Macaca fascicularis: one gene and its partner. The protein of the gene in region 1 interacts with the protein of each later gene in a pairwise test. Links are inferred from orthologs where the notes say so. Each region holds a gene or a part of one and is shown in the gene's direction. Other genes may lie near its edges.

Region 1 (3,650 bases):
GCCTCCCAAGTAGCTGGGACTACAGATGCACGCCACCACTTCTGGCTAAATTTTGTATTTGTAGTAGAGATGGGGTTTCACATGTTGGCCATCACATGTTGGCCATGGCTGGTCTTGAACTCTCGACCTCAGGTGATCCACCTGCCTCGGCCTCCTAAAATGCTGGGATTACAGGTGTGAGCCCTCACTCCCGGCCCAAAGCCTAATTTCATCCATGCCATGCTACCTAAAAATGAAGCAAGGCATAAACAGCCCTGAGGATGGTCACCATCTTATGGAAGTAGACACTCTTTCAGTTCATCAATCTTTGCCTTACCTGTCTCAATGCTCCATAAGACTAGGCTTAAAATATGGCAGTTGGACATATTTTTCTCCCATGGTTTTCTTTTTCTCTAAAATAAATAGGAAACCACAAGGGAAAAGTGATGGTTGTGGTTAAAAAAAAAAAAAAAAGAAAAGTTGGAGAGAGGGAGATTGCTACTGATACTGACTACTTCATATGATATATACTATAGATTAATAAAAATTTACTGATTGGGCCGGGCATGGTGGCTCACCCCCGTAATCCCAGCACTTTGGGAGGCTGAGGCGTGTGGATCACCTGAGGTCAGGAGTTTGAGACCAGTCTGGCCAACATGGTGAAACGCTGTCTCTATTAAAAATACAAAAATTAGCCAGGCGTGGTGGTGGACACCTGTAATCCCAGCTGCTTGGGAGGCTGAGGCAGGAGAATCACTTGAACCCAGGAGGTGGAGGTTATAGTGAGCCGAGATTGTGTCACTGCACTCCAGCCTGGGTGACAGAGCGAGACAACCTTTAAAAAAAAAAAAAAAATTACTGACTGTTTCAGCATCACATATGGCATATATATAGTAGATAAAATTTCCTTATTCTAAATGTTCTAAGGCCAGGTTTGAAGACGACACTTATCTGTCTGGCTTATAGAAGTTTTTGGGGAGTTTACCGCAAATATCTTCAAGAGCCTATAATGTACAAAATACTGTGCTAAGTGCTTGGAGGATATGATGATAAATTAGAGCTTATAGACCATGAGCAGAGACATACAAATCCATAAATGGCAGGCATCATAGAAGGCCATAAAAGATGCATGCAGAAAAGAAGAGGGAGTCATTAATTTGGAGGGATATGGGAAGAGGTATAGGTTGTAGTTTCTCTTTGTTCATTCCCCTGTAAGGGTGGGCTTAGAGTTAATACAAAGGGGCCAGGCAAGATGGTTCACGCCTGTAATCCAGGCACTTTGGGAGGCCGAGGCAGGCAGATCACCTGAGGTCAGGAGTTTAAGACCTCTGGTCACCTGAGGTCGGGAGTTCAAGACCAGCCTGGCCAACATGATGAACCCCTGTCTTTATTAGAAATACAAAAATTAGCTAGGCATGGTGGCACAAGCCTGTAATCCCAGCTACTTGGGAGGTTGAGGCATGAGAATCGCTTGAGCCCGGGAGGCAGAGGTTGCAGTGAGCTGAGATCGCACCACTGCACTCCAGCCTGGGTGACACAGTGAAACTTCATCTAAAAAAAACGCATAAAAATAAAAACACAAAATTAGCCAGGCATAGGAGCATGCACCTATAATCCCAGTTACTCAGGAGGCTGAGGCAATCTTGGCTCACTGCAACTTCTGCCTCCCAGGTTCAAGCAATTCTTCTGCCTCAGCCTCCCAAGTAGCTGGGATTATAGGCACCCACCACCACACCTGGCTAATTTTAGTATTTTTAGTAGAGACGGGGTTTCACCATATTGGTCAGGCTGGTCTCTTGGCCAGGCTGGTCTCGAACTCCTGACCTCGTGATCCACCCGCCTTGGCCTCCCAAAGTGCTGGGATTACCGGCCCGAGCCACCCTGCCCGGCCTCCGTCAAAGGTTCTTACCTTGTAAGTGACTGAGTTAGAATTTCAGCTGTATCTCAAGTTGCTGGGCCCAAAACTCATAGAATATTGACATTTTATCAGTTATAAAATGCCTCCATGTACAAGCACTGCTGGGGAAGGTAATCACCTCTATGTGGAGAGGGGTTTACACACAGTATAGGTTGAATACCAGCTTGTTGGGATGTTTTAGAGGAGATTCAAACGTTAGCTAGTTGTTGGATGGCATGGTGTTTAAGGTCTTTTCCAACTTTTTGATGCCATCATCAGTATTTTGTTCAATTTTAAAAGACACATAGATGTTCTCTAATCTTGATTAAACAATTATTTTATTTCAGTGAAGAAAATATTTGGAAGCTCTGTGAATACATCAAAAACCATGACCAGTATCCTTTGCAAGAATGTTATGCTGTCTTCATATCTAATGAGAGGAAGATGGTAAGTTGGTGAGTGAGTGCAGGAAGAAAATGAGATTTAACATGACATTAGAAGCTAAATTAAATTAAAAAAAAGAAGCAAAATATAGCATGGGTGTAGTACTCTTCTGAAGTGTGCTTTATAAAATACAGCAACATTTAAAAGTTTTCTTTTGAATGAGATTTTTTTCCTTACAAGGCATGATTGAGTTAGATGAGTTGAGTCCCTTCTGTTGCCCAGGCTGGAGTGCAATGGTGCAATTCTTGGCTTACTGCAACCTCCACCTCCCGGGTTCATCTCCTTCCTCAGCTTCCCGAGTAGCTGGGACTTACAGGCATGTGCCACCACGCCAGGCTAATTTTTGTATTTTTTTTTTTTTTTTTTGAGACGGAGTCTCGCTCTGTCGCCCAGGCTGGAGTGCAGTGGCGCGATCTCGGCTCACTGCAAGCTCCACCTCCCGGGTTCACGCCATTCTCCTGCCTCAGCCTCCCGAGTAGCTGGGACTACAGGCGCCCACAACCGCGCCCGGCTAATTTTTTTTGTATTTTTAGTAGAGACGGGGTTTCACCGTGGTCTCGATCTCCTGACCTTGTGATCCGCCCACCTCGGCCTCCCAAAGTGCTGGGATTACAGGCGTGAGCCACCGCGCCCGGCAATTTTTGTATTTTTTAGTAGAGCTGGGGTTTTGCTATGTTGGCCAGGCTGTTCTCGAACTCCTGGCCTCAAGTGATCCTTCCGCCTTGTTCCCACAAAGTGCTGGGAGTACAGGCGTGAGCCACCGTGCCCAGCTTAGTCCCTTATTTTAGGTAAGGAAATTTGTGATGGTCTACACAGATTGAGTCCCTTTTCTTTAGGCATTAATGTAGACCTGGTTTTGTTGTTGTTGTTGTTGTTTGTCTTTTATTTTCTTTTTTGATACGGAGTCTCGCTCTATCGCCCAGGCTACAGCACAATGGCACGATCTCGGCTCACTGCAACCTCTGTCTACCAGGTTCAAGGGATTCTTGTGCCTCAGGCTCCCGAGTAGCTGGGACTACAGGTGCCCACCACCATGCCCGGCTAATTTTGTATTTTCAGTAGAGACAGGCTTTCTCCACGTTGGCCAGTCTGGTCTCCGACTCCTGACCTCAGGTGACCTGCCTGCCTTGGCCTCCCAAAGTGCTGGGATTACAGGCGTGAGCCACTGTGCCTGGCCATTTTTTTTTTCTTTTTTTAAATTCAAGATGGAAGATGTAGACTTTTAAAAAATTACTTAGATATGCATACTCTCAGTTTTAAAATAAGGATTTGTCTCTGGAGTTTAAATAGAACTACAGTCAACTTATATGAGGAATTAGAAAAAGGAAGC
Region 2 (3,650 bases), on another chromosome or scaffold:
AAACGGAGGCTGAGCACAGTCCAGGACTTGATTAGGAAATGGGTGGGGGTGGGGCCGGGTCGCGGGAATGCTGGGGCAGCTGCTATCGGGCTGCTTTGTGTCCCCACCCTGACTCACTGCCTCTCTGGTCCCCGGCCCCGCAGGTGTACATCGGCGAGCTCCCGCAGGACTTCCTCCGCATCACGCCCACACAACAGCAGCGGCAGGTCCAGCTGGACGCACAGGCGGCCCAGCAGCTGCAGTACGGAGGCACCGTGGGCACCGTGGGCCGACTGAACATCACTGTGGTTCAGGTGGGCCTTGGGGCACCCTCCTGCCTGCCTGGGGCTGGTGCGCTCAGGTGGGGTGGGATTGAGGATTTCGCGTTTACACTGCATTTCCTAAGCGGGCAAACGGAACTTCTGATTCCCGCTTTTCCTGAAATGTGTGATGTTGAAAACGATCTGTGTGAAAAATACTGGCATTGACCCCGGCTTTTGCCAAACATAACTCAAATGATGAGTAGTGGGGGTAGGTGGGCGTCCGCTCCGTGTAGGGTCCAACCGGCTCCACCACCAGGCTTGAGGATGCCCCAGGACGCCTCCCAGGCCCCTGCCGGCAGCTGGAGGAGGCGTAGCTGGCCCCCCACCACTCGGCGTGCGCTGCGCGAGTGGCTTCCCATTGGCCCCAGTGCCGATGCCCGCACCCTCCCCTCCCCACAGAGCAGCCCTCGGTCAGCCTCAGGGCTGGACACCAGCCGCCAGGACGTGGTGACTCAGTGGACTTTCAAGTGAAAACCAAAATCGGCAGATTGAACACCGATTTTGATCACACCAAAACATTCCGTAAGATCACAGGAAAAGGAAACGCATTGTGAGCCACGCAGGCTTTTGTAGAAATGCACAAATACAGCAGGCAGAAGAGTCGCCGCGGACCTCACAAATAAGACTTGGTTTCAGGGGCTTCACTTGGTGTGGTGGGCACAGCTGTGCCGTCACCCCTTCCTCGCAGCGTGTCTCAAACCCTTGCCTGTGCAGCTGTTTCTCTGCTGGTGTGGCCCATCCCTCTGCCCACCCAGTGAACTCCTGTAAGCCCATGCTCTCCTGCCCCAGCTGCCACCAGGCCACCTAGTGCCATCACCCATTCTCAGCCGCTACCTCCTGGCAGGGCCTGGTGACCGCAGGGCACTCCGCCTCACAGTTCAAACTCCAGACCTGGCTGGGCCTTGGAGGTGGCCCTGGCATTGCCCACGCCTCCGGCCCCCCTTGGTCTTCTCCCACATCCTGGAGCCCACTGCAGGCAGCCTGTCTATTTCCTCCACGCGAGTTCACCCAGCCTTCCGTGCCACAGCTCCAGTGGGGGGGAACATTCCTGCCTCCTCACTGGGCCACGTAGCTCAGCACCCGCTTCCTGCTTCTCTTGGCTTCTGGGCAGCTGCACATGTGGTTCCCTGCTTGCCTCCCCTGGCTGCTTCCCCTCATCGTCTCCTGGGGCCCCAATGGGATGCCAAGGGGTCTGGTCCTCAGCCCTCCTCCCGTCTCTGCCCACACACCCCAGTGACTCCTGCGTCCCTGTGGGTCTAAACACCTGTGTGCTGGTCCCAGCCTGAGCCAGACACTCAGCTCCACCCCAGATTCCCAGGTACGGACCATGGCCACATGGCCTCCCCGGATGTCCCGAGGGCATGCCAGACTCCATGTGCCCAAGGTGGACCTCTCAAGCCACCCTCCCAGCTTCTCCCCCATGTCTGCAGGTGGTTGCCCCACACTCTGGAAGCTGAGGCCCAAAGCTCTGGTGCTCCTGGTGCTCCACGGTTCATCTCCACCTCTTGCCCTTCAGGCCTGACCCTCAGCACAGGCGCCACCTTCCGCCGGTCCAGGCGGGGAGCCCCCTGCACCACCCACTGCCTCCGCTCAGCCACTGGCTTGTGGCCAGAGCAGGTCACTCCCTGCACAGGCCTTTCTCGTGGGCATTGTCCTGCCGAGGCTTCTCAAGCCGGGGCCCATGTTTTGCCTCCCCCGGTCACTCCTGACCTTCCTGTTCCCTGGCTGTTCTCTTCCCGCTTCCTGCAGCTCTTCCTCCAGATCCTGCAGCCCACACATTGGTCCTCCGAGCTGGTCGTGCCTGCAGTGGTAGCGCCGTCTGCCATGCCGTGTGTCTGCCGCGCGTCTCTTGCCCGTTGTCGGGGAGGCAGCGGTGCCTGCGTGTCCCCGCAGTGTCCGTAGTGCCCGCAGTGCCCGCAGCGTCTGCCGCATCACAACAGCGTGTGGTTGTGTGGGGTTGTAGTGAATGGGCAGATGCTTCCGTAAACATCAAGGAGGTCACTTCAGTAGAGCAGTTGATGTCACAGGACGCTCCTCCTAGAGTTTTCTAGCCACAGTGCAGAGGGCAGTGGGAGGAGACGGGAATGACAGGACAAGGCTGAGTGTGACAGAAGCGGGCAGGACCCAGTGTGAGCAGGTGTCGGTGACGGGCACAGGGACGCTGGCAGCGGGAGTCCCACATGCCGCCCGGAAAGCTGCCTTTGCTCAAAGCCTTTAAAGTTAATAATAATAAAAAGTCTTAGCAACTAGGCAGAAACAGCACAGTTACCTGAAAGCTTGGGAACATCACGCTGGTCTCAGACTTTCCTGCTACATACCTTCCAGAAAATAGGGCAATTTCTAAGGAGTTTAGAGGGGCAGAGTTTCGAGTGTAAGAGCTGATCTGGCAGATCTGTGGGTGTGCAGCAGAAGGGAATTGGAAGCTGCTAGTCACCCAGAAGCTTCCAGAAAACTGTTCCTCCGTAGTATTCCAGAGCACGCTCCGGCCACCCAAGAAACACGCTAAAATTAAGGACCCAAGAATGGGGCGGTTTTGACATAAAACGGCCGGCCACAGTTTTGGTTAGAAGTGAAAGGAGGGAACTTGTATGTGGATGAGAATAGAAAACAGAGGACCCGGCAGTCCAGAGATGTGGGCACAGGAGGGGAGAGTTCAGCTGTGCGGCGGGGGGTGGCGACGATGGGACAGCTGTGCCCTCAGAGGAGGCGGTGAGGACAGGGTGGTGGTGCCCTCAGAGGGGGCGGTGAGGACAGGGTGGCGGTGCCTTCAGAGGGGGTCACCGAGAACTGGTTGTCTGTGCCCTCAGGGGGGGTGGGGGGCGGTGAGAATGGGGTGGCTGTGCCCTTAGGGGGGCGGGGGCGGTGAAGATGGGGTGGTCGTGCCTTCAGAGAGAGGGCAGAGAGGACGGGAGGCCGTGCCCTCAGAGGGGTTGGGGGCAGTGTCTGGACTCTGTTACACTGGGAAGGAGGAACTGGTGGGCTCTGTGTGGCTGGGAGGGCCGAGGTGGCTCCTGGGGTCTTTGTCACCAGCTCCTGGGGGTGAGCCAGGTTGGCCGCAGGAGAGCGGGTGGCGGCAGTGCGGGGAGGCCGTCTGCGTTCCAGGGAGGCAGCCGGAGCTGCAGGACTGAACCCAACCCAGCTCACGACGGCTTTTCTCTTGATTTTTTCTTGTAAAAGTTTTACAGTTCTAGGTTTTATATTTGAACCTGCCATCCACGTTGAGTTTGTTTGCCGAGCAATCATCTTACGTGCCGCAGTCTTCTGTCTTATGTGCCACAGTTTTTTGTCTTATTCTGAATGTTCATTCCCTTTAACACACGTTCACTCCCACCCCGCGGACCTCAAATG

Evidence for each region.
Region 2: the proteins of NTAQ1 (region 1) and TOLLIP interact in binary tests that used the Homo sapiens proteins (3 or more experiments, as listed by UniProt). The two-hybrid records come from large-scale screens. The link is inferred for Macaca fascicularis from reciprocal best matches to the Homo sapiens genes NTAQ1 and TOLLIP.

Annotation. Positions count from the first base shown.
Region 1 is NC_088382.1:133,068,904-133,072,553, forward strand, and holds part of NTAQ1 (protein N-terminal glutamine amidohydrolase), read left to right. Parts: intron 1-2,223; coding exon 2,224-2,323; intron 2,324-3,650. UniProt on the Homo sapiens protein: Mediates the side-chain deamidation of N-terminal glutamine residues to glutamate, an important step in N-end rule pathway of protein degradation.
Region 2 is NC_088388.1:1,216,204-1,219,853, forward strand, and holds part of TOLLIP (toll-interacting protein), read left to right. Parts: intron 1-143; coding exon 144-293; intron 294-3,650. UniProt on the Homo sapiens protein: Component of the signaling pathway of IL-1 and Toll-like receptors. Inhibits cell activation by microbial products. Recruits IRAK1 to the IL-1 receptor complex. Inhibits IRAK1 phosphorylation and kinase activity.